Linked DNA regions of Macaca mulatta. The protein of the gene in region 3 purifies or fractionates together with the protein of the main gene of each other region. This does not show direct contact. Links are inferred from orthologs where the notes say so. Each region holds a gene or a part of one and is shown on either strand. Other genes may lie near its edges. The genes, in order: ACLY, DNAJB6, STIP1, DNAJC7, BAG2, HNRNPDL and CCDC117.

Region 1 (4,012 bases), on a different chromosome or scaffold from region 3:
AAGCAAAGAGTATAAATATTTATATATGCTTGATAGGACATACAGTAACTTGCTAACTGGGGTGACCTGGTCAGGGAGGGGATGGGGAAATGGCCAGGCAACTTTCACTTTCTAGTTCATTTTCTATATTTGCTGTACCTTTGTATGGAGCACACAATTTTCACAATTAAAACTCAAAACAGCTTCATTTTGACACAAAAAAGAAAGTTATAGGAGACACTGAGAGCAGGGCAGGCCCTCGCCATCATCCCTCGAAGCCCTCTGGGATGCCACTGCTTTCCTCTGCCCCAAATTCCCACACCAAAGTGGCAGGACCCCACCCCCCAGGCCACACACATGTGGATGCTGGGTAGCTGGGCTGGCCTCTCTTCAGCAACCCCCTTCAGTCACCTGTACACGACAGAGGCGCCACCCCCGGCCACCATGGTCCAGATCCTCCCCTTGGGGTTCAGCAAGGTCAGCTTCAGGCTTGCCCCACTTTTGGCATCTAGGTCTGCAATGTAGGCTTCCTGGGGAGCAGAGAGCAACAGGTAGGCCCTCGGGGTGCCCCCTTTACCAGGTCCCAGATCCTAGGATCCCTCCCCGCTTTCCCTGGAGGCACACGAAGAGGTCACTAATCACTTTAATGGGGTGGGAAAAAGGGGCTAATCAGGGCCCCACATGCCTTGAAGACACTTGATGGCATCTCCAAGTACCAAAACCACCCTTAGTCACAGTCACTGCCTGGGGACAAACTTCCCATCTCCCTTCTCTGATGTCAAGTCCTTGGCCCTCTGCCTAAGTCCTGAGCCTCACCATGTCCCTCTGCTTAACCGTGACCTCACCCCAGCATCTGCCTGCCCAGCCCATCACATGTCCCCCACCACCCCAGGACTCCCCAGGCCAGACTGTCTCCCAGCCCAGCCTCTTCCCTGGGCCTGGGGTACTTCCCAGAAAGCCCAACCCTGCTGTGAAGACTTCTCAGAGGACAGAGTGGGAAAGAGCAATTAAAACTCCCAGTGAGAAGCCGAGAGAACGACCTTCCGTCAGGATTAGGGGGAGCCACTTGGAATCACGGAGAGGCAACAAATCAAGTGAAGAGTCGAGGGAGGCTGATTGAGAGAGAAATCTAAAAGGATTTCTGGCTGGGATTCAGAGGCTTGGCTCACCCCCACCCCCACCCCACTGGGGTTTTAAGAAAATTAAATGCTTCTCGGTCTTCCTTTCCCTGCCAAATAAACAGCTCATGAAGGGGGGCCAAATGCACATCAGAGATGAGTCACCTCCCCACCGCCCTCCCCCCAGTCCCCATCTCCTCTCTAAACCAGCCTTACCTCTGGATATGCCTCCCGCCCGAAGGGGGGAGGGAACTCGATGTCACCCCACTTCACTTTGCAGATGTAGTCGGCAGTGGCGTCCACCTTGGCCGCCAAGTCAAGGACATAGACTCCATCTTTGGTCACTACTTCAAGGGGGAGCAGAGGCAACCATCAGACACTGGCTCTGGATAGAGACGACCACCAACCTCCAACCCCTCCACAAACACCGCTCCCATGGTGGCCCATTCAGGCCTCAGAACTCTCTAAGCTCAATAAGAAACCAGAGTGGCCCTTATGGAGACAGAGCGTTTCTCCATTAAAGGCAAAACAAATTCTACAAGGCCATTTCCCTCTCCCTAACCTACAGGTAATGGGACATGGAGGTCTGTATTAGTTGCCATGGCAATTTTCAAACATCTGTACAAAACGCCACACTCCCTGCTTTGAATATCTAACCATGCGCAAACCCATGGTCTGGCCACTTTTTAAAAGTGTTTAAAGGCACCTGTTGCTGACAGAAGACCCCCCCACCGGCATGCACATCTATGTCTCCCAGGGCCTGGCTAGGGGAAGCCACAGTGTCAGGTGGAGCAGGAGCCGCGGGGTGCACTGGACTCTCAGTCAGCAGGATTCGTTTATACTACCTCACTGGACACCCATCTTCCTCCTCCCCCAGGGCCATTTAGCTGATTGAGTTAGCACAAGGCCATCTGGTCCATTAGAGGGGCTGCATCCTCAGCCAGAATGATTTGATTTCTCGCCTTCCTGGACTTTGCCCTGAGAAGTCCCGGCCAGAGCCAGCCCACGCCACTCTCCCCCAACACCACCTGCTTCCTTCACATCCCAAGAGGCTGAGAACAAGCTCTTCCCAGCGTCAAGGGTTAATGATTGACCAACTCCCACAGAGGGAGGCAAGTGTGGGGCCTCTGAGTGCACCAGGAAGAATGAAGGGCCAGAGGGTGAAAGCAGTGCAGAGGCTGCCGACCTCCTGCTGTCAGACAGCCTGACCTGGCATGAGGAGCAGCAGCACACAGTCAGATCAAAACCAGGACTTCTGGCCGAGCGTGGTGGCTCACGCCTGTAATCTCAGCACTTTGGGAGGCCAAGGCAGGCAGATTACCTGAAGTCAGGAGTTCAAGACCAGCCTGACCAACATGGTGAAACCCCGTCTCTACTAAAAATACAAAAATTAGCCGGGCGTGGTGGCGGGCACCTGTAATCGCAGCTACTCGGGAGACTGAGGCAGAAAAACTGCTTGAGCCCAGGAGGTGGAGGTTGCAGTGAGCCGAGATTGTGCCACTATACTCCAGCCTGGGCGACAGGACAAGACGGTCTCAAAAACAAACAAAACAAAACAAAACAAAACAGGACTTCCCCACTTCAGAGCAAGTTAAGACCAAAGAGAGGCTGGAGTTGACTAAGAGAACTACAGTCTTCTGAGAGCTCAGAAACAGGAACTGGCACTAAATGAGCATGGGAAGCCCTCCGCTTGTGCACATCTGTCTTGTGCTGCCCTCTAGCAAGTGGGAGTCTGGTTGGGACCCTTGCCCCCTCCCAGCCTAGCACACCCAGTTACCAAGGGGATTGATCTCGAGGTAGGTGAAGTACAGGTCCTCGTAGAAATTGAAGAGGCCGGAGATAAAACTGGCCAGAATTCTAGAGGTGGGAGGGAGAGAGGGACAGTTCATCGATCAGGGAGCAGCTCGGCAGCACCCCAGGCATCCCACAGCAATCTCACTGCCACTGACAGCTCCATTTCCCGACACGCATCCCGCCGGCCCGTCCATCTCCTCTGCAACCCCTGCTCCCTGGACATCGCTCTTCAGCCACTGAGGCGGAAAGGAGCTGTCAGGAGAGAAGCTGGAGGCAGAGGTGTCAGACAGACAGGGGCAAGGAGGTGAGAGATGCTGGCGGCATATTTCAGTCTGGTTGCGAGCCAGTCCCCGCCCTGCATCCAGCTGTCTTCCTCAAGACAGGGCTGTGCCTACCACCTGACACCCAGAGAGGAGACCACTCTGCTCTCCCTGGTCTATGCCCAGAGCCTGTCAGTCTTCTCATCCCAACTGCCACCTCCCTACCGTCCCTTTTACTCAACTCTTTCTTGTCTTCAGGGGCGTGGACCAACAGGTGTTTTTTGATGTCCTCAGGATTCAGTTTCTCATCCACGCCAACAAGTAGCTTCTGGGCCTTGGCGTCCACATCACCCACGTCCACACCCCCCTCATGGTGGAACAGGACGTAGTCCCCTTCTCGGGTGGCATAGATGCAGACATAGAACTCCTCCGCCTTGCAGGTGAAGAGACGGGATAGTGGGATTGGGGTTGGGGGGTGAAGCTGGTGAGGGGCACTGAACTGGGGAAGATGGGGGGGGGTCTACCATGTACTGGGAGAGGAAACCAATCCCCATGGTCTCATTTTCTAAAACCCAGTAAAAAACATTCATCCAGAGACTTGTCTACCATCTTTTCCCCAAGGATAAGCAGAAGAAGCCACTAACTCACTGGCTGATGGTCCAGACTAAATCAGTGTGACTCCAGCTGAGGAATGGGGCCCGCCTGCAGGTCGTTCTCATCCCTGCGCTGGGAAGTCCCCTTTGTTACCAGTCCTAACTCCTCCCTGCTGCAGACCAAGTCCTTTCCTTCCCCTCTGGACTCCTGAGTCCACAGCACCCTCAGATCCTCAGTGCAGCTTCAGGGACCCTGGTCCCTCTGACT
Region 2 (4,695 bases), on a different chromosome or scaffold from region 3:
GCAGACAATAAGGTGTCTGTGCGGTCCCGCGGTGACAGTACACAGCGACATGTTCAGGATGACTAAAAATACCTGCCCAAGTTTTGAAGTGCCCTCTTGTTAAATACTCTTAACAGTGACGGCCGGACGAGGGGGCTCATGCCTGTAATCCAGCACTTTGGGAGGCCAGGGCAGGTGTATCACCTGAGGTCAGGAGTTCGAGACCAGCCTAACAACATGGTGAAACCCCCATCTCTAATAAAAACACAAAAAAATTAGCTGGGTGTGGTGGCGCATGCCTGTAATCCCAGCTACTCCGGTGGCTGAGGCAGGAGATTCGCTTGAACCTGGGAGGCGAAGTTGCAGTGAGCCAAGATGGCGCCATTGTACTCCATCACGGGCAACAGTGAAACTCCATCTCAAAAAAACAAAAATAAAAAATAAAAAAAAGGGCCAGCCGCGGTGGCTCACGCCTGTAATCCCAGCACTTTGGGAGGCCGAGTCGGGTGGATCATGAGGTCAGGAGATCAAGACCATCCCGGCTAACATGGTGAAACCCCATCTCTACTAAAAACTACAAAAAAATCAGCCGGGTATGGGGGCGGGCGCCTGTAATCCCATCTACTCGGAAGGCTGGGACAGGAGAATGGCGTGAACTTGCAGAGATCGCGCCACTGCATTACAGCCTGGGCAACAGAGCAACACTCCGTCTCAAAAAAAAAAAATGTTCAAACATACCATCCCACCCCCACCTCAGACCTGGATTTGGGTTACCTAGGTGGAAAACTGATGAAGGTGATGGGTACCACTATTCGTTTGAAACTGTCCAAATCAGTTAATAGAAAGGAATTACAGACTTGCTTAAAAATGAAAGCTAATGTATGCCACTTAGTTACAGGTATCACACTGTAATACCATATCCTTATTTCAGTCTTTACAATATTCAACAATACTCACCACCTAGTGTTCCGGAAAAACTGTCCTACAGCCAGAATTACTTCCCAAACCTAACACTTTCATATCCAGAAGAAAATAAGTTTTAAAACACTGATGTTTTGAAGAGAGTGTTGAACTCATCTCAAATTCTTCAAGAGCTTTGCCCTCTGAAATTCCCAACTTTCTCATGTTCCACAGTACAGACTAAGCCTAGTTAGGCATTTTTCAAAGGTTCTCAATCCTTTTGTTCTCCCACTTCCTGTCAAGTCTCCACATCTACCAATTTAAGGCAACTTACTTCCCAAATTTCACATCCAGAATAATCCATAAACACCCACAGCTCATTAAAGTGTGCATAAAAAATATTCACCCCTTTATCACAGAAGGCAGAAAGAAATGTGAAAGAACCAACTTCAAAGGAGCTTAAGGCTCTCAGAAGTGGAAACAAGTCTGCAGTCGGCCGGGCGCGGTGGCTCACGCCTGTAATCCCAGCACTTTGGGAGGCCGAGGCAGGCGGTTCACTTTAGGTCAGAAGTTCGAGACAAGCCTGGCCGACACGGTGAAACCCCGTCTCTACTAAAAATACAAAAATTAGTCGGGCGTGGTGGCGAGCAGCCGTAATCCCAGCTACTCAGGAGGCTGAAGCAGGAGAATCGTTTAAACCTGGGAGCTGGAGGTTGCACTGAGTGGAGATCGCGCCACTGCACCCTGGCCTGGGCAACAGAACAGACTTCGTCTCAAAAAAAAAAAAAAAAGTTTGGAGTAAACCCAAAAAGAAAACATGACGGATGGACAGGTGGAGTAGTAAGGTGGATGCATATAATTCCTTTCAGAAACCATGAATCGTTCTGATATGCAACATTATTTGGAAAAGTGCGGTTAAACACGAAGCAGCAGCAACCAAGATTTAGTAGTTAAAGTCTGTTTACTTTCCTTTCTTCGGTCTTTAGTCTTAACTTTTCTACTAAATCAATAATTTGGCTTAACTTGTAGCCACAAATCCTTACTAAATTCGCAACTCATATTAACAAAAACGTTAAAAATTACAGAGAGCTCCGCTCAGCCTACTCTTCCCCAACAGGCTGAAGCCTCTGAGCTCGCAGGCGGCATCCCTTCGGTGGTGGCACGATCGTTCTACTCGGGCTACTTCCTGCCTCGTTTACGTGAGAAAATTAGTACAGAAGTTTACGTCTGACTAGAAAACCCATCCTTTTTAAAAAATGCGCTAGCGCCAAAACCTTTCTCGAGCCAACATACGGTTTGCAGTTTATACTTCGTGTGTCACTGACCTTCCTCACTTGGGTAAGAGTTAATATAAACTTGTTACATAAACTTCAGTTGCATCAACTACGGTGCAGATTCTTTAACGCAAAGCAAAGCAGACAGACGTTCTGAATAAGAAACGCAGCCTGCTCTTCCACAAACTTCTCAACAATCCGTCCGGAGTTCTAGAAACAGGGCTCTGCGGTCCACCACCTGCTTCTTCTCCCTCCGAACTTGGCGGCACGGCAGCGGCATTCCCGCTCCGCAAGCCACTCGCGTTTCTGGTTTCAGACTCGAGGGAAGGAGCCTTAGAAAGAAGGCGCTCCACGCCTCCCACGCTGCCGGCCCCGCCGAGCCCCAGCCGAGCCCCAGCCGGCCGCTCCCAGGCCGGGCCCCACCCCCAACCGCCGCCGCGGAGGCCGGGCCGCGTTCCGGCAAGGACGCCGGGCGGGGAGGACGCGGCCGGGCGGCCCCAGCCCCCAGCCCCGGCCCCGGCCTCGGCCCCAGACCCAGAGGACGCCGCCCACCTTTCGCCCCGCAACCCCGGCCACGGCCCCCGCCCCTTCCAGTACTGCCCCGACCGGCGACCCCGGTCACCCCCCACGCTGTTGCCAGGAGCCGGGTTAGGTCCGCCGTCTGCCGGGCGCGCGCAGGGCCCTAGGCGACCTCCCCCGGCCCTCGAAACAGACTCTCACCGAGGACGGAGGCGGCTGGTGGCGGGACGCAGGGGAGGCGGGGTGACTGCCCGAATCTCCTCACAGCTCCTGCACTGCTGCGCTGGTGGTGGCGGCGTCTCCTCGCGCTTTCCTTTCTCTCCTTTCTCCGACAACAAACAGGAAATGCGTCACGCGGCGGCGGCACAGCGACGTTAACTTCCGCCCGGCCCTGACGCCGCGCATGTGCAGTTTCCACTGCCCAAAACGCGGGCCCAGCCTCGGAGGCGCCCGCCCCGCCTTCGCGAAGGTTCTCGGCTCTTCCGCCGCCCCGAAGAGGCCGGGAGACTGGGGGCGAAGGGGAGGGGAGGGGAAGCCCAGGGCGAGAGGGCGGAGCTCGGGGCCGGGTCCACCGTACCGGGGAGCCCAGAGGCGCGGACGGCGCAGAGAAGGCCGAGAAGATTCCAAACGGCACTGATTGTTCTGGGCGAGAAGGAGCCCATTCTGGAAACCGCGATGTCGTCGCGCCCTTCATCTTCGGCCGGCGGCCTCCGGAGCGCGTCCGCCGCCTCTCGCCCCGCGGTCCTCCCGTGGAGCTGGGTGGCATCTCCCCACAGCGGGACGAAAGCTGGGGCGCGGGCGCGGGCGGAGAAGTCCTCGAAGGGGAGGAAGAAGAAATCAAGCGGCGGCCAGGGAAGGCAAGCGAAGGCACCGGCCCCCGCTCGTCAATTTAGGGAAGGCCTGATACCCTAAGTTCCCCGGCGAACGGGAGTGCGTGGAGACTTCGCCGGGGAATAATGATGGAAGGAAATGGAAGCAAACTGTGGCCGAAAATACCGAAGAAGCTTTTTAGATTGAATCGTGGCAGTTGTTTCCTGAAAACGGGCCGCACTTTGATCGCTGGACTTGAGGTCATCCCCAGACTCGCGAGCCTTTCCCGCGTCCGCAGGGGTTCTGGTTCTAACCCTGGAGGTTAATACCACACGCGTGCAGATGGTGACTAGCGGGAGCAGGGAACCTCAGACCCCGCGCAGTCAGACAGGCTTTCATTCCCAGTAACGAAAGGTCCTGTAGATCCAAAGCCTAAAGAGGTCAACAAGCAGTTCCGTGCATGGAGCCTGGCCTGGATCTCCCACTGTCTTGTCTCCAGCACTCAGCCAGATGTTTGCTACTGTGTTGTCTTCGTAGCCCACCTTATCCTTTCCTTTAAGAAATAAAAATGCCAACCTGGTGTGGTGGCTCACGCCTGTAATCCCAACACTTTGGGAGGCCAAGGCAGGTGGGTTACCTGAGGTTGGGAGTTCAAGACCAGCCTGACACAAGGAGAAACCTCGTCTCTACTAAAAATGCAAAAAAAAAGTTAGCCAGGCGTGGTGGCGCATTCCTGTAATCCCATCTACTTCGGAGGCTGAGGCAAAAGAATCGCTTGAACCCAGGAGGAGGCGGTTGCAGTGAGCCGAGATCATGCCATTGCACTCCAGCCTGGGCAACAAGAGCGAAACTCTCTCAAAAAAAAAAAAGAAAAAGAAAAATTCCTTTTTGTCACACCTTTCCTGAACTTCAGATCCTGTGGCATGCTGACGCTGAATTCCGGGGGCCTGCTCAGCCACCTTCTGAACAATGCTTATGAATTCGTGATCATTTAAGCCTGGGAGATACTCAAAAGACACTTTTAACACTTGAATCACTTTTGGTTTATAATAGCTGGTTAGTAATGAAAGAGTTGGAGAAATGCCACCCCGAATTATGCCGTGTTAAGATACCAATTACTAACTAGTTCACTGATTACCACGTTAGTATGCCCTCAAACTGAGGGCACATGGGGACCTGCCAATGCAGGGAGGGGCATTCTCTGAATCCCCCG
Region 3 (4,530 bases):
TTCTAAACTGAAATACAAACCTCACAGTTGAAAATGAAAACAAAGTCTTGTTTATTTTCAGGAATGGCTTCCAGATGGTGGGCTCAAACACACCTGGGGTTAAATGCCAGGTCATCTGTACAGTCGCCATGTCAGTTTGCTGTCCTAAGTCAAATATTCATTCACCATCTATCTACCTGCACATACACTTCTACCATGGGTGGTGGTGATTTAAAAACAAACATTTTAAGACCAGGCAAAGTGACTCACGCTTGTAATCCTAGTGCTCATGCAGTGGGAGGCCAAGGCTGAAGGATAGCTTGAGCCTAGAAATTCGAGACCAGCCTGGGAAACATAGCAAAACCTCTGTCTCTACAAAAAATTTAAAAATTAGCCAGTTGTGGTGGCGTGTGGTTAGCTACTCAGGAGGCTGAGGCAGGAGGATCGCTTGAGGCCAGGAATTTGATGCTGCAGTGAGCTATGATCCCACCAGTGCACTTCAGCCTGGGCCACAGAACCAGACCCTGTCTCTAAAAAATAAATAATAAATTTGGTAACAGCAGAAAGAGGTCCTTTCTCTTTTTTTCAAGACGGAGTCTCACTCTGTCGCCCAGACTAGAGTGTGGTGGCACAATCACAGCTCACTGCAACCTACGCCTCCAGGGGTGAAGCGATTCCCCTGCCTCAGCCTCCCCAGTAGCTGGGATTATTGGCATGCGCCACCATGCCCCGCTAATTTTTGTACGTTTATTACAGAGGGGGTTTCACCATGTTGGCCAGGCTGGTCTCGAACTCCTGACCTCTGGTGATTCGCCCGCTTTGGCTTCCCAAAGTGCTGGGGATTATACGTGCGAGCTACTGCACCCAGCCGAGATCCTTTCTTAAAAGTAAAAGAGCAATGTCTTATTCCAGAAAATTTTTCCTCACCTATAATACAGCCCATTTAATCCTAGATACAACTGAAGCATTATATGGGCACAAAAAGTTTATTAACTTCATTTCCACTCTTTTTAATACAGCAAGGAAGCTAGAGCTTTGCCTAAAGCAGCAACTGCTACAAGAGACCAAAGGCTCAGCTCTGTAACTCCACCAAAAAAAGGGTGGTAGTCACTAGTCCATCGAGATGTCTTACTTAAGGGGAGCGTGTGGGCAATCTTAGTTTTATGGATCTGAAGTAAGAACCAAATACCAGGTATAGTTTCAGAACTGTCACCCCGAAGTGTTATGGGCCCGGAGCGACGAGGGTAGTACTCTCGAGCAGATGATTTCTCAGATGTTGGTAGAGGTTTCTCGGAGGTTGTTTTGTTCTTTTTCTTCCGATGAATCATTATAGCTCAATGACAGCTTCCAATGGAACAAAATCTCTAGGCCTTTCACAACCACAAGCTACTGAGGACATAACCAAGTCACTGAAAGGAAGCAGCAGCCGCTTCAAACTCTGCCCCCCAAATGCTCAACAGAGGCCCATAACTTCTAGCGGTTAATCTCTGCAAATTGTCTACAACCGCCCCAGTGTAGCTAGAAATCCACCTTTCGGAAGTGTCGGTCCTCGGTCACTCGACAATCACACACACGCATACAAAAAGAGGGGGAGGGGCCGCAATACATTTGTAAACCACTGTCAGAGATGGAATTCGTTCCAAGGACTTTTGCGGCACCCTTCCCTTTACTGCATCAGCTACACTCGGTCTGTAGCTCCTCAAATCCCCGCTCAACGCTCTCCCACCCTCACATTCTCAGATGCAGAAGAGTAAGATTTGCCCCAACTGGATCTCAGGCTGCTAAGACCCAGTGTATTCCCGTCCCCGCTCCCTGGATCCGTCCAAGTTCCTCGTGGCTAAGTCCGAGCGGTTTCTCCGTCGGCTGTCTCAGATCTCCCGGAGCGCTACCTCGCGGGTGCCGACCCCGGCCCCTGGCCTAACTCCACCCCGCCCTCTGCGGCCCGCACCCTCCCCAGCATAGCCTGCAGCAGCCCCTTCGGGACGCCTTCAGGGCCCGGTCGCGGCCCCTCTTCCCGCCGCCGGCCGGACTCACCCAAGCTGTGGCCTCCTCCCGGCCCTCTTCGCCCAACCAAGGGGCGATGGGCGCTCCCCGCGGCCGGCCTCTACAGATCCCGCTCCCGCCCGCCGCCCGCGGCCCTCGCCTCCCCGCCGCCGCCCCGTCCGGCTCCAGCACCCAGCTCCGGTCGCCCAGATCTGGCACCCGCCCCGCCCCCTACCGCGGGCCTGGCCTCCGCCGGTCCCCGAGCGGTCTCGGGGCCTCAGCCCGCCCCTCCCCCTTCACCTGCTCCATAGCGCAGCGCGGCCCGGAACCCCGTTGAATCGAATCCGTCCGCTCCGCGATCCCAACCGCACGCGCCGCCTTCTGGAACCTACTAGAAGCTGCCGGGACCCCGGCTCCCGCCCCTTCCTCGCCTGCTCACTGGTCGAGTACTTCTAGGGGGCTGTCTGTGCTGTTCTACTACTGGCTTGAGGTCCAGCCCATCATCTCCACTTCCCTCTCATTGGACAGCGGGGAGTGATTCCCTCAACCCTGCCTCCCCCGCACCTCAGGATTGGACGCCGCTCTATAAACCCACCCATCTCAGGCTGCACGAACGGAGGGAGGAGCGGACTTCTGCGACACAGATTGGTCTTTTGCTCTGCCAATCGTAGCAGCGCTGGCCGCGCCCATTGGTTCCGTTCGTTCTGGAAATTTCCACCTCTCCCATTGGGCTGCCGGACTCCAAGTCGGAACCGCCTTCAGAATGAGAGCGATTCCAATTGGGCGGAGGGTTGCCAACCCTTTGCGCTGATTGGTTTAAATCGCTGCCTTTCAAAAGGCCCGGTTTCGCCCCGCCCGTGGCATATGGCAGTCCCGGCCGTAGTCCGGTACTGTAGCCGTGTCTCCGGCGGCTGCGGTGCCTGTGGGTTACTTTCCATCTGGATCCCTAGTGCCGCGAGTTCCAGGCGGTCCCCGGGATCGCCAGCGGCACAGGGCCCCAGCCTTTCGCCCACGCATCGAGATGGAGGTCCTAGCCGGTCGCGCTGCGTGGTCCTCGACCGCCAGTTGCGCGCGTTGTTCAGCGCTGCGGCCTCGGCCTGGCCCTCCTGCATTCTGGCTGTTAGGTTCCAGAAATGCCACGTGACCGCGAGGGCGCTTGGGCTTGGGCTGGACAGGCAGGGGATCTCATCGCGGCGGGTGCGGCTGTTCTGCTGGGCGTCCTCAGTGGAACCGCACACCCTCTCTGAGTCGTTTGGTCCTGTAGGGCCGAGGGGAATTCGTGCGGTGTTTAGCACGCGGAAAGTACTTAGCGAAAGGGAGCTGTCCCCCAGCCCTCGTGAGTCCGATGTAAAGGAGTGAAAGAGACGAAGAGCTGAATCAGGTAGTTAACCGCCTATGAGCTGGCTAGCTGTGGCCTGGTAGAGCCTTAAATCCCAGCCCCAGAAGTCAGAGTCAGGGCAGGCACCCCAAAGCGTGGAAGAGATGCACCTGCGGAGTGAAAATGCTGCTATTGCTTCTAGAGTCAGCTGTGGTTCCTGGAACAAAGGAGCCGCATGACTCGGGTCTGGCAATGGTCTTGGGCTCTGCAGTGTCCTCATCCTTCCCCCTCTCTGGGTAATGCCATCTTCCCAGGGTTTAAAGTGTGTCCTCTCTGCCAATAGCTTGTCTCCACAGCCTCATCTTTAATCCCACCTGCCCCACCCATTTTGGACACTGCAGCCAAGTTGCTGCAGACCTGCAAACCTGGTAATCCCTCACTTGAAAGTGCTGAAGGCTTTAGGGTGGGGTTCAGGGCCTGTGTAATCCAACCGCCTGCTTTTTTTTTTTTTTTTTTTTTTTTTTTTTTTTTTTGAGACAGAGTTGAGCCTCACTGTCTCCAGGCTGAAGTGCAGTGGCGCCATCACAGCTCCCTGCAGCCTGGACCTCCTGAGCTCAAGCCATCCTCCCACCTCAGCCTCTCAAGTACCTGGGGTTACAGGCAGGCACCACTACGCCTAGCTAATTTTTCTATTTTTTTGTATAGACGGATTTCTTCGTGTTGTCCAGGCTAGTCTTAAACTCCTGCTCTGTCTCTCAGGCTAGAGTGCAGTGGGGCGATCTCGGCTCCCTGCAACCTCTGCCTCCCCGGTTCAAGCAATTATCCTGCCTCAGTCTCCCAAGTAGCTAGGATTACATGTGTGCGCTACCACGCCCGGCTAATTTTTTAATTTTTAGTAGAGACGGGGTTTCCCCATGTTGACCAGGCTGGTCTCAGACTCCTGACCTCAAGTGATCCTCCCGCCTCGGCCTCCCAAAGTGCTGGGTTTACAGACCCAGCACTTCGCCCTGCGGTTTTGCATTTTCAATAGTGAGGCATGGTGAGAAAAGACTTAAAGAAAGCAAGGGAGTGAGATCCTTGGAAATGTGGGGGAGAACTTTGCAGGCCCATGGAACAGCCAGTGCAAAGGCCCTGGGATGGGAGCTGCCTCGGGGTAGCCAGGATGGCAGGAGGCACAGCTGCCGAGAGGAAGTAGGGGCCAGGTCCTGTAGGGTTAGAGGCCATTGCCACTCCCGAACACATTGGCAGGT
Region 4 (4,498 bases), on a different chromosome or scaffold from region 3:
GCCTTATTTTCCTTTTGACTTGTGCACAAAAGTGGTATATAATAAACATGTTTAATTCTGTCGAAAAGAGTGCTATATATGAGAAACATAAAAGTCTGATAAGAATGCATTTTTTTCTTTTTTTAATGTAACTTTTTTTTTTTTGAGATGGAGTTTTGCTCTTGTTGCCAAGGCTGGAGTGCAATGGCATGATCTCCCCTCACCGCAACCTCCACCTCCTAGGTTCAATCAATTCTCCCACCTCAGCCTCCCGACTAGCTGGGATTACAGGTGTGCGTCACCACGCCCGGCTACTTTTTGTATTTTTAGTAGAGACAGGATTTCACCGTATTAGTCACGCTGGTTTCGAACTCCTGACCTCAGGTGATCCACCTGCCTTGGCCTCCCAAAGTGCTGGGATTACAGGTGTGAGCCACCACGCCCAGCCTTTTTCCTTTTTTAATTAATTTTTTTCTCTCACTATTTGAACTACAGGGATAATACATGTTGTCATGTTTAATTTATAGTTATATTTTCTTAGTGACAGATAAAATAATTTGCATTCTGCAATCAACGACTTTTTTTCTTGAGATGGAATCTCACTCTGTCACCCAGGCTGGAGTGCAATGGCACGATCTCAGTTCACTGCAACCTCCACCTCCTGAGTTCAAGCAATTCTCCTGCCTCAGCCTCCTGTGTAACTGGGATTACATGTGCGTGCCATCACGCCCAGCTAATTTTTGTATTTTTAATAGAGACAGGGTTCTGCCACGTTGGCCACGCTGGTCTCAAACGCCTGACCCCAGCTGACCCACCTGCCTCGGCCTCCCAAAGTGCTGGGATTACAGGCTACTTAAGTAATAAGGTAGTTTACCTTATTTTGTTGTACTGCTATAAAATACCATGTTTTGTGTGATGTGGTCACATTACAGCATAACCTATTTTATTATGCGTCTTCAGGTTCATTTACTCCAATTTTATGATAGAATATCCTCTAAGGCTGTGATTGAAGAAATGTATTTGCTTTAGATAGGAGGTTTTGAAATGAAGTCCAAAATAGGGACACTCTACATCAGAGATTGACAATGAGTAGGATGAATTTTTTAAATTACCTATGGCCAGCCTGGTGCAGTGGCTCACGCCTGTAATCCCAGCATTTTGGGAGGCCGAGGCAGGAGGATCACGAGGTCAGGAGATGGAGACCATCCTGGCTAACACGGTGAAACCTCGTCTCTACTAAAAATAAAAATAAATAAAAAAAAATTAAAAAAAAAAATTAGCCGGGCATGGTGGGCACCTGTAGTCCCAGCTACTGGGGAGGCTGAGGCAGGAGAATGGTGTGAACCCAGGAGGCGGAGCTTGCAGTGAGCTGAGATCATGCCACCACACTCCAGCCTGGGCGACAGAGCGAGACTCCGTCTCAAAAAATTAAAAATAAATAAATAAATAAATTACCTATGGCCAAATCCCTATTTATAATATAAAGAAACACTGAACTCTTTCCAAATCCAAGTAACTCTCTACAATTAATTAAGCTCTGTCTGCACTGGGAGAAATTTTGTTTCCCATTGCAGCTCTTTAATGATGTATAAGGGTTGATGATGCTTAACTTTAAATATCTAGAAAGAAGCAGGAACAACATGAAAGCTCAAAATTAAGAACAGAGACTGGACTCTGGTGTCCTGGCTTCTCTGATATCCCAGGGACCTATTACACTTTGTCAGGCCCCCCAGCTCCCAACAGATCAGGAACTTGAGACACTGGCTGTGGTAACAACCTTCAAGCTTGATAACTATTCATGGCCTCCGTTCTTATATTTCTAACTCATCAGATAGTAAAAATCTCAGAATCCTGATTTCAGATCTCATGAACTAATTCTACATCACCACCTCAAATTACCCAGCCTGAAGACATAACGGGCTTGGTATGAAAATATAAAGTATGTGGGAATAAGACTGAGGGCACTGTAGGCATCTTGAACAAAAGGGTCAGATTAACCTGCAGCTGATAAGGAAAGGGCTCCAAACTTCTAGAACCTTCTTGTCAATTCTGCTTTAGTATTAGAACACGTATGACTACCCACAACTCTGTCCCAACCCCATTTCCAATAATCTGGCCTGTTGCCAGAATCTAGAGCGTTCTCGAAAACCACTCACTCAGCAGCTCCCTTGGCTAGTCCGACTGGCAGTCTCGAACCACTGCGGCTGCTTCGGTGTGCCAACAGCGCCCAAGCAGTTGCCCTCTTCCTTGGTGCTTAACTTAAGAAAGAACAGTGCTGGGAAGGATAAAGATCACCCAGGAAGGATAGGGGAAGAGGAGTCTGACACAGAGAACACGAGATAAGCCCCTCGCTCTTCCCTTTTTCTCTATCATCCTTGACTTCTGGGATAACCGGGGGCAACCAGGTCAATTATGGAGACACACAATCACCTCGAACCCAGACTAGTGATCGAAAAGGAAAACGGGGGGAGGAGAGCAAAGGTTTTAGAGATGGAAAGTGCAGACAGGCAACAATGCACAGAAGTTAACGAGAAGGAGGGAGTCAGGGGCGATGTAAGGAAGTCGTCATCGACGCCGCGCCGCCCCCCCCCCCTCGCACCAGACCTCCGAAATTGCCCTCCGAGACTCGGGCTCTCCTATAAGGACGATCGTCCTCTCAGCTGGAGAAGAAGGCCATGCCTCAGCTCCTTCGCCAGGCGGAAGCGGGAGAGGAAGGCCGACCCCCAAGAGCGCCCCTTCAGGGGGTCCATCCGGCCTTGATCTCAGATTGGGGGGGGGTTTGCGTAGGGCGGGGCATCGCCTCAACAGCTGGGGGCTGCATCATGGCAGGAACGGGTTTCCCTGAGCCACGGAGCTGCAGCTTGCCTCCTCTACTACCCTGCTACCCGGTTACCTCTTCGCCTCTTCGTCGTCGAGCAGCTCTGGCTCGGTCGCCGCCATTACCACATCGCACTCCGCGGCAGCCGCCATCTTACCGCCGGGACCAGAGAGCTGGGTGGGAGGCCGGCGGTGAAGAGCACTTCCGGTTGGAGCATAGAGCAGCTCAGCGGCGCCTCGCCCAGAAGGGCTCCCTCGGGCTCGTCTACCAGAGAGAGGCTCCGCTTGGGGCCAGAGCGGCCTCCCGTCCCCGGATGTCCAGGGTGGTCTCCGCGCCGGGGCGGGAGCCCAGGGACTGTGCCTGTGCGTAGGCGGCGCCACTTTACCCGTGGATGGGAATGGAGGTGTACGGGTGGTAGCCTCTCTAGGGCTTGATTGGTTTCAGTATTCCAAGAGCCTCGTTGCCATAGCAACTTCCAATCCTAGAGAGTCTTCCTTAAAGGCTCCGTGGAGTCTGGGTTGGGTGGGGACCAGGTGACCCAAGACTGTAGGGAAAGAGTCCCCACTGCTACCTTTCCGACCTTGGAGTGTGTTCACAGCTTCTTCCCGGGAAAGGCAAGAGCCACTCTGAGCCCAGTTCCCCCAGCTTTCATCGTTCTCTGGAAGCCCTACCCAATCAAGCCAGGGGAACGTAGGGCGTCTTCATCCTGCGCCTTTCATCCACTCCGGATCTCCAAACACCAACTGGTTCATCACCCTAATGACGCTGACCCTTTTACGAGGCTGCTTTCATGTCAGCCGCCTGGGAGTGCCATCTCAGCATTAAGCCTAGGAAAGCTGACACATGGCGCCCCAGACCCTGCCCTGGAGTTTATAAGGAAGCTCGCTGGGTGAGGTCCCTGCTCTTGTGTCCCCATTACTCCTACCTCTTATATAAACTCTCTACTCATCACGCTTGTCTTGCCGAATGCGGTCTGGATTGAGAACTCACAGGGGACAAGGGCACAGTTTAATTGTCTTGTTATTCCCTCACCCAAGCCACTATTTGTGGAGCTGAATTGAATTGGAGCTTTCTGGGGTTAAATTGGAGGCGTATTAGGAGTAGCTTTACAATGTAAAGCTAAGAGTAGCTAAAATGAGAAGAGGGCAAAGGAATTTTTAAAAGGATTTACCTGTTTCTTCCAGGAAAACAGCATGTGCCAATGCTCCTACCCTGCCTATCCCAGTGTGGAGGGAACTGAAACCACAGCGACCACTGAGTAGGGAGGGATAGGACAAGCTTACTAGGTTGGAAAGGAGGGGTCATTCGTTGAGCCAATCACTCAATAGCCCTTTCCAAAACGCCTACTTTGTGCTAGGTTGTGAGGGCACAAGACTTACAGACCACCTGCCCTGCCTGTCAGTGGCTCATAGTCCAGTCTAATGCTAGCCAACCTGTCTCACCATCTTCCCACTTTATGTTCTAAGGCAACTCATTTATTCCCACAGCTTTACTTCCATCTGTTGATGACTCTCAACTCTACATATCTCCAACCTAGACCTTTCTTCAGCTTCCACAGCTGCATATCCAACTATCTACTGGATATCTCTTGTATGTTTCACAAATCCCCAAAGCTTACCATATTTAAACTTAACTTTTCATTGTCTACCTACACCTGAACAACAGAAAAAACAAATGCTGGATGTAATTATTATCTTTCCT
Region 5 (3,303 bases), on a different chromosome or scaffold from region 3:
TGGAAAGATTTAAATAAGGCAGAGTTGGAGCTGGCAAAGGAAGTAACACAAATGTCTTCAGATTTTAACTGCTTTTTATAAAGAGACTAACTTGGCATTTTTGTAGAGAAAAAGAAGTTCAATATTGCTTGCATTGAGAGAGAGAGACATATATAAAATCAGTTTGGATCCTGATTTGGTTTTTCAGTGTGAAGAATACCTACATTGAAATAAAAATTGATGTGTTCATTTCAAAATAGTATCTAGGGAAGTTGTTGCGTTTATATCAACAGGACTAGTTACTTTAAACAAATAAGTGTTCTCTAGTTGCTTCACTTTATCACAGATAAAAGAAGAATCAACACACTGGTCAACCTTTTTAGTAAACAAAATGCAAACTAAGTGTTAATGCTCAGTGCTGGAAAGAGTTCAGTGAAATAGCTATATTTTATTTACTGAAAAAAGTATAAATTGCTATAACCTTTGTACAAAAAATTTTTAATAAGTGTGTGAGGCCATGAAAATGTCTATACCCTTTGATCCAATATAATTCACTGCTGGGCCTTTATACAGAGAAAATTGAAAACAAAAGAAGGAAAAAGCCCTGCGTACAAAAATATGTTGCAGTAATAGCAACAAGCTGGAAGCAACCTAAATGTCCGTAAGATGGGAATGGATAAAGAAAGATATAACTACACAAAATAGAGCTCATTAAGTTGACAAGCAGGCTTTATATCAGCATCTAACTTTTTTAAAAAGGCAAGTTACAATATAGGAATTCTAGAGAATTGATGCATTTGAGAAAAGATGAAGCAGATATATAATTGTTCACAGTGGCAAATTATAGGTGGTTTTCTCACATTTTATGTCATAGTTTCTTGTATATCAAAAAATACATTCATATTATGAGACACAGGAATCTTTACATCCAAAATAATTTGATATAGATGCCTTAACATTGAGGAATGAGACAACTTTGGAAAGACTGTTGTTTTGTGATTCCTTTTTATCCCTCTAAGCACAGTGCTTTGTTAACACTGTGTGTAGTAAATGTGTGTGCTGCTTAAGGTAAAGAATTTCTAGTCAACTAAATGCCCAAGGTGACTGCGTGATTCCACGCCAAAGCACAGGAAAAAGCAGTGATGCTTTTGCCCCTAGCTGAACACTTGTTTTCCCCCACAAACTGTATTCATCCACAGAATAGTGAAATATGCTAGATCCTAGTACAAGATGAGAATTCAATCTAAAAAATCTCTAGATAGATAATTAAAATATTGCTAGTTTTGTTATTCACAAAACTGAAGATACTTGATGGAATATTTTCCTCATCTGAAACAACTGTCAGTATCAACTAAGTGGTTATATCTAACATAAAGAACTAGTTATCAATTAAAATAGTATTTTATCATTTTTACACCATGTGTATTGTGTAAATGCTGTTGGGTTTGAAGACTAATTGAATTTGCTTTCAGCATTTTGTTGCAGAGTTTTGGTACCAGCTCCTTTAGAATGCTCTAATAGCTTGATGGCCTTGTCAGAGTTTTCAATATTTCTAAGCAGAGTCTCTAATCTTCTCTTAATTTTCTTCTGATCTTCAAGAGCACAGCCAATTACTATGGATTGAAACTTCTGATCAACCGGCCCATGTGGCACCTCAGATGAACATGCACTGTAGAGCGACATTAAATGACTCTTGGCATTTCCCAAATCATCCAGAAACTTATTGACCACCTCATCAATAATCCTTGTGGCATGCTTTAGGGATTCTTGCTGCTGGGGGTTTCTAATTGTTTCTACTGACACTTCAACGGTGAGAGTTCTTCCCATCAAACGGTTTGCAGTCAGATTTAATTCTTCTCTTTCTCCTAAAATGTCAATCAATATGAGACATAAACTTATCTGTGTCAAGAACATTAAGGCATTTGTGACTAAATGTATTAAGTATCTGCTATGAAATTTTTTTAAAGATACAAGCTAAAATTATAGCATGTAAGATTAACTGATGAAATGTATTAGATTACAGAGAGAGGTTGTAGAATACCATTTCCTGACAATCTTTATATATGGGATACTAGATGACTTCTCAAATTGGCATGTTTGCAAAAGTTTGGGTAGGTATGCATTTGTAACTGGGATGGAGATCAAGTCTTAACCCTTTGAGCAGTAAGCACATATAGGATTTATGTTGGGTACAGCTCCAGAGATCAGATGTCCCAGATCTCTCCATAACGACATGTGCATTTATCAGAATACACTGCCCCAAATTTTGGTTGAGAAAATATAGCCATGATAGAAGATAAGCTGGCATCAATACTAGGCACTGACTTCATGCTTCTCCAGATAGAAACAGGACAGTGGTCTAAAGTCTTGACCGGCATGAGGAGCTCTATCAACATTTCATTATTTATATGAAAAAGTCAGCAATCTCCTGCTTCTGTAACTTCCTAATTCATTGATCTTTGGGCAGGACAGTGTAGAGACTAGATCATGGCCTACCATAGATGTGTAACAGTTTTGATCTGGATTTAGATTGCTTACTTATCTCACCAGTCACTTGGCCCAGTAACATGTGGCCTGTGTGGCACCAAAGGAGCCCAAGTAGGAAGTCCAGTGCCAATAAAAAGAAAATCACAAGTGACCTATTCCTACCTATTACATGTTCTTCACATGAAAATGACAGCACAGGCTAGGCGTGATGTCACATGCCTGTAATCCCAGCACTTTGGGAGGCCGAGGCAGGCAAAATCACCTGAGGTCAGGAGTTCGAGACCAGCTTGGCCAACATGGTGAAACCCTGTCTTTACTAAAAATACAAAAATTAGCCAGGTGTGGTGGCAGGCGCCTATAATCCCAGCTACTCAGGAGACTGAGGCAGGAGAATCACTTGAACCCGGGAGGCGGAGGTTGCAGTGAGCCAAGGTCGTGCCACTGCACTCCAGCCTGGGTGACGAGTGAAACTCCATCTCATAAAAAGAAAAAAGAAAATGACAGCACATTTTTACATTCATGCCTTTTACTGGTCCTACAAGTTTCCTCATTTTCTCTGCATTTTGTCCCTCTCTTTATGTTGTACCTCAATTCATCTTTTTTTTTTTTTTTTTGGTCTCTACTTCTCTGCTTCCATTCTCACCCTTTTTCCTCTGTGTTTTTTAATCTCTTGCAGTCCAGTAACTTGTGAAGAACTGAAGTTAGGAGTGTGAACCTGGGATAAAACACATGGCCTTACTGCTTGGGGCCAGCTCTTCTGAGCTTGCAGGCTTTTTCCTATCTCTCCCAGCCATGGCTTGGGGTAGAGAGCATGCTGGAAGAAATCTCTGAGTAAGT
Region 6 (4,692 bases), on a different chromosome or scaffold from region 3:
TTTTAGTTTCGTACAGGACTACTCATATTTAGCAGTATACAGCTTAAACCATGGAGTCATATTCCAAGAATTAAGTCTCACCTCGGCCACGACCCCTCGTACCACCTCGGCCACCAGCCGCAGCACCTCTTCCACCTTTTTGTTGTTGCTGTTGCTGCCTATATACCTCTTTGGGTTGTGCAACTTTGATTTCACACTATAAACAAATTAAAAAACACGAAAATAGAATTTTTACTCAAGTTCTAAAATTTAATCATTTTATTTTTCTCAAACACATTGAGAAATTTCAAAAACTAAAAGATAAAAAAATAAAGAAAAAAGAAATCCTTAAAATTTTCATTTAAAGTACTTAAATGGCTTTACCTTCCCAGAACCAATTTGATGGTATCTGCTTTCTAACAATTTTTTTACTGGCTCTTCATCGGTGTATGTGATAAAACAAAATCCTCTTCTCTCATTTGTTTTTGTATCCATGGGAAGTTCAATATTTTCAATCTGAAATCGAGATGCACACTCAAGGTCATCCCATAATTGTAAAATGCTACCAGAGTGTCAGAATGCCACAGGTACTTTTCAGGCTTCAACTTAAACATGTTATTCTTATCAGGTGACTTCTATACAGACATCACTGCTTTATGATCAACATCAGCCTTCAGTGATTTGTTGTATATTTGAAGCATTGAGAGAAAAGTAAAACATCCTTTAATATTATTTTGTACCCCAAAGATGCCACTAACTAACAAGTCCAAACACCGACCACATTTAAGTGCCCATGTTTTGGCTAAATTAAGATAGTTGGGTTTCCATCAGAGCAGCAATCAAATCAAGGTACAGTCCCTGGAAGCGACTTGAGCAGTCATTTAATCCTACCCTCACACGAAACATGAATCTGCCCTGTATAAATCGGACCAGGATTAAACATTTTATAAACACATCAAGCTTAACATGTGTAAACATAATCACACACCTCTCCAAAGGCTCCAAAATATTCTTTAATTTGTTCTTCAGAAGTATCCGGGCTCAATCCACCCACAAAAACCTTTTTGGGGGGTTCTTTCCCTTTTAAAGCTTTGGCCCTTTTGGGATCTATCAATTTGCCATCCAGTTTGTGTTCTTTCAGTTCCAAAACCTACAAGACAGATTTATTTAATCTGACAGCAGCATATAACCCCCAGAAAAATGTGCAAAACACTACAAAAGCAGCACAATGCAAAACACAGTTCCTACCTTATCAACACTAGCAGCATCTTTGAAAAGCACAAATCCAAATCCTCTTGATCTCCCAGTGACTGGATCTGTTTTAATTGTGCAGTCTACAACTTCCCCAAATCGAGACAAATACTCTGTCAGATCTTTTTTGCTTGTATCCCAGCTCAAGCCTCCAATAAACATTTTACTAGAAATAAAAGGTTTTTTAAAAAATTAACAGTAACTCAAATGGTCCTTCAGTTCTGGAATTAAATCGTAGAATAAAAACAGGAACATTTATCCCCTAAGTGTAAGCAATTTAATCCATGTTTACATTTAATCTATTTCACACAAAAATCCCAATATCCCAACAAAGTTACTCAAACCAGCGGACAGCTCGCTCTCCGCACTACATAAAGCAAAACTCAAAGGAGACCAATAAAATATAGTAAAGGTTCTGCCCAGATTGCTTCAGCTACAAGGCCCAACTTCCTAGATGAATCCCTCACATCTTATCTTAGGTCCATCCTCGTCCTCAGCTGTCAAGCCAACGTTCCACCCAGAGAACTCATCAATCATAATACGTTTTGTGAATCTGGGTACCAGTCGCCTGCTTGTGCCCGAACTCAGAGTCCTCTAAAACTCTTCCCAGGAAAACCGCGCCGAGTGGTAACAGACACACAATGAAGAGGCGTCGGCAGCTGCAGCGAGCGGCGCTGGGAGGCCGGCCCCTCCCCCCCGGGTCCCACGCGGCGCCTGCGCGCTCGGGACAGAGACGCCGCCGCCCTCCTCCTCCAACCCCTCCGCCCTTCCCCCACTCTTCCCGGGTCTCTCCAGTCACCCCCTCGATCTCTTACTTTCCTCTTCCCTCCAAGCTAGTGGGGCCCAGAGGGCACGCGGGGAATCGACTCTGAGAAAGAATGGGGGCAGCGCGCGGCTCACGAGGGACGAAGGGCGCGTGCGGCGCGCTGGGGGAGGGGGAGCGGGGGAAGAAGCGTGCGGTACCCGTCATCCTGCTGATTCTTGCTCGCGTTTATCTTGGATCCCTCTGCGAATTCTTCTATGTTGCTGTACTCGTTCATATCCTCCATAGTGGCGGAGCTGTTGGCAGGGGGGTGCTGGCGCGCAGTCCGGGTCGCGGCAGCAGCGGCGGCGGAGCGTTGTATGGAGCTGGATTTAAAATGGCGGCGGAAGAGATCCGGGCGCCGCCTGCGCCCTCCCTTTATAGTCGCCCCGCCCGCCAATCGGGAGGGCTGCTGGGCGGTGACGTGGCGCTGGGCCCGGCGCGCCCCCTGCCGGGCGGAGCTGGGAGCGAGTGAAGGGAGGAGCGGGGCTAGCTGCCGCGGCGCCCGCGGCCGCCAATGGGAGAGGCTGCGGGAGGCTAAAGTAGCGGGAGCGGAGGGGAACAATGGCGGCGGCACATGGGAAAGCCGGGGCGGGACCTCCATCGCGGCCCTCCCGGCAAGGAGAGAGGCCACGCGTGAGGGGACGCGGGCTTGGGAGAAGAGAAGAATCAGAAGAGAAAAACGAAGGGGCGTAAAGTCCTGGGGTCAGCAGTCCCGAACAGAGCCGACGCAAGGCCACAGTCCCTCTTGCCTTGGGAGCCTTTGTCTCTGGCGTCCGGTCCAGCCCACTCCTACCAAAGAGCCGTGAACCCCGCCTTTTTCTGCCCTCGGTTCGCCAGTGCGGAGCCGCTGCGGCGGCCGCTGCTACCGACTAGCACCGCGGCCGGGCTACTCCGGAAAAAGGCGGACTGCGCCCGGCGCTGGCGACTGAGGCGGCGAGCGCGCTCGCCCGCCGCGCGCACGCGTGTTTTGTCCTCGAGCTGGCAGGAACCAGCCGAACAGGAAGCGGGCGCGCGACGGCCCCTCCGGACAGCGCAGCGCGGGCGTCTCTTCCGCTGTGGCCACGGGCGCGCGGGCCGAGGGGGCGCAGCGAGGCCTCCTGGCTGATCGGCCGAAGCCCGAGCCCCGCGCGGCCTCTCTGGCAGGCTGAGGCCGGGAGGAGGGGCGGAGGCTGGCCAGATGACTGTATCTATGCAAGGACGGAGGCGGTGGGCGGGGAGGGGGCTGGATGCAGTAGAGGGCAAGGGGCACTCACATCCCCGGCGCGCCACTCGCGGGGCTCCCTTCTGCACGTGCCCCGGGCCTCTCCCGCTCGCTCAACCTGTCTGCGGAGGGCGCGCTCTCGCGCATCCTGCTCCCGCGTTCGCTTCTTTGTTCCCGCCCACGCGAGGCCCATTTTGACGGATCGCGTTCGAGGCCCGACGGCGACCAATTGGCGCTGGGCTTTCGCACCCCGCCCCGCCGAACCCAGCACGGCCCGCCCCTTTTCCTGCCCACGTGGTCTCGGGCTCCTGCCCCGTCCTGCTCACGAGTTCAGGGGCTCCTGGGCGGCCGCCTTTTCCAGTGCCAGGTGTGCAGAGGTGTTCTCTTCCCTACGCGCGGCGGGCTGCACTTGGTCGCTGACTCCAAGATCGCGCGGGGCCGTCGGAAGCCCAGGACGGTACCGGGGGCAGCAGCCGCAGCCGGCGCCGCCCTCCACCCTCCCCGACTGCAGGCCGAGTCCCGTAGCATCCGGAAGGGAAATGGTCGTGCTTTCGGTCCCCGCCGAAGTCACCGTGATCCTGTTAGATATCGAAGGTACCACAACCCCGATTGCTTTCGTGAAGGTGAGGGGCGGAAGGGAGCGGGGATGTTACTTCTCCTTAAAAACAGTTATTATTTTTTTCTAAGTATTGCAGGCCTTGCATTAGAGACGAGGGTTAGGAGAGGCGCTGTGGCTTTGCCTCTTCTGTGGAATGGGGAGGGAGGAGAGAAAGCCTGCGGCGGGTGGCGGGGATGCTTTTCCTCGCGGCACTAGCTTCTCCCTCCCCCGCCCTTGGGCTTGGTTGGATCCAGATGGGTGGGAAGGGATGGAAGTTGAAGCTAAAAATCGCCGAAGGGCAGGTAAGCCGGGGCGGGGTGTGACCGTGTGGGCCTCCCTACCCGGCAGGTGTGCACCCGGTCGCTTCCGCCGGTGAGCGCAGCCTTTCTGCTCCGTCGGGCCTGGTGTGGCAGCGGCAGCGATTTAATGGTCCTTGAAGCTTCTAATCTCAAAATGGAAAGACTGAAGTGTCAAGAGGAGTCTTCAGGTGGCCCTGGTGTCGGGCAATCAAGGTTCCTCTTTGCCCCTTCCCACTCTTGCTGTTAGTGGCCAAACTGCACGCTGTATTACTTTACTCTGTTAGGCTCTGTGGTCCACAGCGCTGATTTTTTTTGAGCGATAGGACACGTTTAGATTCCGTTCACTTTCCTCAGAAAACCGTAGAAGCTTGAAGCTCTTATCCAGAGCGTTCCTTCTAGGATGTCATTGTGAACCAGCACTTGTCTGCACCTCAGCTTACAACTTAGCGGATTCCTTCTTTATTCTTTGTCTGTTAGAATAAGTAAATATGAAATGTTACTTTAATTTTTGAAAGAATTCCTCAGGCCTTGTCTTTTTATTTGGCTCCCTGAGGTTTAA
Region 7 (3,358 bases), on a different chromosome or scaffold from region 3:
AAAAAACTACTAAAGTTATCAATGCTGGGCTTAGTTGACCAAGCACTTCCTTAGGATGAACTAAAGGATGCTTCTCCCATAGGCAAATTGCAGATGGGTTACATCAGTCTTTTAACTATCATTGAAAGTCAATTAATTTGTAAACATTACTGAATAACTGGGCTTATCAATTACGCAAGGGAAACCAAGGAGTAACAGTGGCACAAGGCAAAAAAGCCTTGAAGGAAAAACTTTCTCTATTATTTTCATAGTCAAAGAGGAGAGCCACAATACTACTGGCTATCAATGAGCTATATTGAATTGATAACTAAATTACAAGTTGCTAAGAAATTAGATTTCTTAGCAACAGGCTTAAGCTACTGCTCTTTTCCCTCCTCCCCAATTAGATATAGGCACCACTGTAAACAGCTCATATCTACACACTAAACTGTGACTTAACTGTCAGGATACAGCTGTAGTAGGAGCATCCTTCTTAATCATCTTTTTTGAATTCAAGGAGAATATTCTCCAAGTGTCTGAATAGTTTAGACAATGTGATATATGATTTAAGTCACCCTTACACATACAGCTTCTATACTTGTCTTTGAAGAGGCTGTAATCTTCGAAGAAACTGTAAACCAACATTCCTTTAATAAGCCCCACAGAAAACTGCTTTTCCCTTGAGACAAACTTCCTTGGCAAAAAGTTGAAGTCAATAAATGGCTACCCAAAATGAGAGTCCCACCCCCAAATCACAGGTGGAGATATTATTACACCCGTTTCATAAAACTTTCAAGTCCCTATACTATGCAAAGAGTCTCATAACTGAACACAGGATTCTTCTAACATTTGACAACTTTAGTGTAGAAATTGGTTTCTAGAGTTCCATCTCTTCTTCTGTGCTAGTAGCTGTCTCCAAACTATTATAAAGAGACATCCCTGGTTGCCGAGATTCCAAGAACAGTTCAGTTCTCTGAGGGAAGGTAGTGCCAGCAGCTGCATGCTTAGCTTGGCTCTCTCCTGTATAGTTCTTAGTATTAGAGGATGGCTTTGGCTTATCAGAAAGGAGTTCAGGGAGGGGTTTCCAGAGAACAAGCTCCATGGAAGGACGGCTCCTAAGACATAAAATACAGACTTTTATCAAAAAATTTTAGGACATGAAAACAAAAGCTATAGGTTGAAAAGCCAACATTACCTAATACCTTAAGGACTGATGGCAGCAAAACAGGATATTTAGAACACACAAACTGATCTTTACTTTCTTTTTTTTTTTTTTTTTTAAAGAGATGGGGGTCTTGCTGTGTTGTCCAGGGTGGAGTACAGTGGCACAGTCATAGCTCACTGCAGCCTTTAACTCCTGGACTCAAGTAATCTACCCACTTTAGCCTTCCCAGTAATTAGGACTACAGGCACATTACCACCATGCCTGGCTCCAACTGATCTTTAGAAACGCCCCTCAAATACATAACACTGCACACTTCAACATGTATATCTAACCAAATCAAGTGGATGTAATGATGCTGTGATGGGAAGTATCTAAAAATCCAATGTGAAAACACAGAGCCCTTGATTGTTAGAAATTTTTTAAAACTGTGGTTAATATTAGATGTAGGCAGCTAGCTTATACTAAATCATTATAAATGAAAAGGAAACACTGGACAAACATGCTGAAAGTATCTCAGGTGCCTTTTAGTACAGGTACAAAGTATAATGCTTTATGGGTCAGGCATGGTGGCTTGTGCCTGTAATCCTATCACTTTGGGAGGCCGAGCCAGGCAGACGGTTTGAGCCCAGGAGTTTGCAACCAGCCCGGGCAATGTGGTGAACCCTGTCTCTACAAAAAATACAAAAATTAGCTGGGTGCCTGTAGTCCCAGCTACTCGGGAGGCTGAGGTGGGAGGATCACCTGAGCCCGGGAGGTCAAGTCTGTGGTGAACTGTGATCATGCCACACTACACTCCAGCCTGGGTGAGAGTGAGACCCTGTCTCAAAACACAAAACAAAGCAAAACAAAACAAGCTTCACGGTTAAGGCAAAATGACTATGTTATACACACACTGTGGCAGCAATGGTGTCTGGGCCCAAAGAGGAAGCAAAAATAAAACAAAACAATGAAATACCCCCAAAGGCTAGCTTCTGGAAAACTACCAAAAGCAGAAAGTGCTATGTTTTAGGCTGGAGGGTAACGTGACCAGCTTACTTATGGCTATTTACCCACCCATAGGGCTGGGTAGTTAATTATAAGCTCAAGATAGGACCCTAATGCAAAACCTCTGTGATAAGACCAAATAGCAGCTGAACTTCTAGCACAAATCATCTCCCCTGTATCCAAAGGTAATAATGCCTCATCTATCTGGCCTCACTGAGACTGGTGTCCTAAGAAGTTTTTTCAGATACCTGAAACTTGCCCTCATTGGGTACCAACTCCATCTAAAGTCTTTCCTAGGCAATACCTAAATGGCACTTTATAACCAACTTCCCTACTATTTTACATAGTTAATAATGACAATTTGAGATCATGGAGGCTTCAGGGACTACAGGATTACAGGGCTGGGCTAATCATTACTCACAGGCCCCAGGCCACTTTACTTTTTAGGTTATTGTGTTTGCTTTCCAGGTTCCTCTCTTGTCCTCACAGTGTAGTCACAGCTCCCTGTTAGAAGTTTTGTTTGTTCTGCTCTCATTTGCTGTTTCTGCTTCTACTCTGATGATCTAGGAAACCAGATAACTGAGCTCATAAACTGTGTTTAGATTAAAAGCAAAACAGCTCTGCTAAAGGCCTGGAAGGACTATGCTAATGAGCCAAGAATATGAGCTTTGTTTTGCAGTCTTTGCAGTAACTACTTTCACTGATGGGCCACTTTTTTTTTGTTTCCTAGGCCTCAATGTTGTTCCTGGGTAATTTAGAAAGCCGGGTAAACAGGAGCCTTTGAAATGTGGTTCCTATATCCTATCACAAGAACTTGAGAGAGTGGGCTCTCTTGCCAGTCATCCCATTTCCAAATAGCAGACTACAGTCCATTTTAGGTCTTCAAAGGAACGAAAGAGTAAGTAGGCAAGGCAGCCACTTCCCCATACTTCAAACTTCTGCTTATAAAGCACTTTGCTCAACCCAATGAACTAGGAAAAAGCCAATCTCCGATTGCCTGGTGATCAGGAGATAAAAAGAGCTGACGAGGACAGGATGGGCAGAATCTAGACACTGGGTTTTCCCTGCAAGATCATAAATAAATAGAAATCAGGTACCAAAACTTACATAGACTCAATCATTTTCTTTGTAAAAACTTCATCAAATTCCCTCTTCAAACCTGTTTTCATGGTATCAGAAAGGACAAGACTGGGGAGATGGTTAACATTTCTGTCAGCTTCAACTTCTTCA

Evidence for each region.
Region 1: the proteins of STIP1 (region 3) and ACLY fractionate together in Homo sapiens (co-fractionation; 3 studies listed by BioGRID, with this or other methods). This does not show direct contact. The link is inferred for Macaca mulatta from reciprocal best matches to the Homo sapiens genes STIP1 and ACLY.
Region 2: the proteins of STIP1 (region 3) and DNAJB6 purify together in Homo sapiens (affinity purification with mass spectrometry; 3 studies listed by BioGRID and IntAct, with this or other methods). This does not show direct contact. The link is inferred for Macaca mulatta from reciprocal best matches to the Homo sapiens genes STIP1 and DNAJB6.
Region 4: the proteins of STIP1 (region 3) and DNAJC7 purify together in Homo sapiens (affinity purification with mass spectrometry; 4 studies listed by BioGRID and IntAct, with this or other methods). This does not show direct contact. The link is inferred for Macaca mulatta from reciprocal best matches to the Homo sapiens genes STIP1 and DNAJC7.
Region 5: the proteins of STIP1 (region 3) and BAG2 purify together in Homo sapiens (affinity purification with mass spectrometry; 3 studies listed by BioGRID and IntAct, with this or other methods). This does not show direct contact. The link is inferred for Macaca mulatta from reciprocal best matches to the Homo sapiens genes STIP1 and BAG2.
Region 6: the proteins of STIP1 (region 3) and HNRNPDL fractionate together in Homo sapiens (co-fractionation; 3 studies listed by BioGRID, with this or other methods). This does not show direct contact. The link is inferred for Macaca mulatta from reciprocal best matches to the Homo sapiens genes STIP1 and HNRNPDL.
Region 7: the proteins of STIP1 (region 3) and CCDC117 purify together in Homo sapiens (affinity purification with mass spectrometry; 5 studies listed by BioGRID and IntAct, counting the BioPlex papers as one, with this or other methods). This does not show direct contact. The link is inferred for Macaca mulatta from reciprocal best matches to the Homo sapiens genes STIP1 and CCDC117.

What each region holds. Positions count from the first base shown.
Region 1 is NC_133421.1:66,241,722-66,245,733, forward strand, and holds part of ACLY (ATP-citrate synthase), read right to left. Parts: intron 3,646-4,012; coding exon of another isoform or gene 3,633-3,645; coding exon 3,394-3,632; intron 2,955-3,393; coding exon 2,875-2,954; intron 1,445-2,874; coding exon 1,314-1,444; intron 510-1,313; coding exon 391-509; intron 1-390. UniProt on the Homo sapiens protein: Catalyzes the cleavage of citrate into oxaloacetate and acetyl-CoA, the latter serving as common substrate in multiple biochemical reactions in protein, carbohydrate and lipid metabolism.
Region 2 is NC_133408.1:196,808,517-196,813,211, reverse strand, and holds the start of DNAJB6 (dnaJ homolog subfamily B member 6), read right to left. Parts: upstream 3,003-4,695; 5' UTR 2,874-3,002; intron 1-2,873. UniProt on the Homo sapiens protein: Has a stimulatory effect on the ATPase activity of HSP70 in a dose-dependent and time-dependent manner and hence acts as a co-chaperone of HSP70. Plays an indispensable role in the organization of KRT8/KRT18 filaments.
Region 3 is NC_133419.1:10,215,643-10,220,172, forward strand, and holds the start of STIP1 (stress-induced-phosphoprotein 1), read right to left. Parts: upstream 3,242-4,530; 5' UTR 2,690-3,241; coding exon 2,558-2,689; intron 2,363-2,557; exon of another isoform or gene 2,272-2,362; coding exon of another isoform or gene 2,263-2,271; intron 1-2,262. UniProt on the Homo sapiens protein: Acts as a co-chaperone for HSP90AA1. Mediates the association of the molecular chaperones HSPA8/HSC70 and HSP90.
Region 4 is NC_133421.1:66,356,559-66,361,056, forward strand, and holds the start of DNAJC7 (dnaJ homolog subfamily C member 7), read right to left. Parts: upstream 2,974-4,498; 5' UTR 2,950-2,973; coding exon 2,873-2,949; exon of another isoform or gene 2,253-2,872; intron 1,216-2,252; exon of another isoform or gene 1,092-1,215; intron 813-1,091; exon of another isoform or gene 109-812; intron 1-108. UniProt on the Homo sapiens protein: Acts as a co-chaperone regulating the molecular chaperones HSP70 and HSP90 in folding of steroid receptors, such as the glucocorticoid receptor and the progesterone receptor.
Region 5 is NC_133409.1:125,106,871-125,110,173, forward strand, and holds the end of BAG2 (BAG family molecular chaperone regulator 2), read right to left. Parts: intron 1,845-3,303; coding exon 1,432-1,844; 3' UTR 620-1,431; downstream 1-619. UniProt on the Homo sapiens protein: Co-chaperone for HSP70 and HSC70 chaperone proteins. Acts as a nucleotide-exchange factor (NEF) promoting the release of ADP from the HSP70 and HSC70 proteins thereby triggering client/substrate protein release.
Region 6 is NC_133410.1:51,380,170-51,384,861, reverse strand, and holds the start of HNRNPDL (heterogeneous nuclear ribonucleoprotein D-like), read right to left. Parts: upstream 3,162-4,692; 5' UTR 2,637-3,161; coding exon 2,194-2,636; intron 1,397-2,193; coding exon 1,228-1,396; intron 1,130-1,227; coding exon 968-1,129; intron 496-967; coding exon 364-495; intron 197-363; coding exon 82-196; intron 1-81. Other genes in the region: ENOPH1 (enolase-phosphatase E1), read left to right, coding at 3,776-3,859. UniProt on the Homo sapiens protein: Acts as a transcriptional regulator. Promotes transcription repression. Promotes transcription activation in differentiated myotubes. Binds to double- and single-stranded DNA sequences. Binds to the transcription suppressor CATR sequence of the COX5B promoter.
Region 7 is NC_133415.1:22,768,279-22,771,636, forward strand, and holds part of CCDC117 (coiled-coil domain-containing protein 117), read right to left. Parts: coding exon 3,236-3,358; exon of another isoform or gene 1,233-3,235; intron 1,095-1,232; coding exon 857-1,094; 3' UTR 1-856. UniProt on the Homo sapiens protein: Facilitates DNA repair, cell cycle progression, and cell proliferation through its interaction with CIAO2B.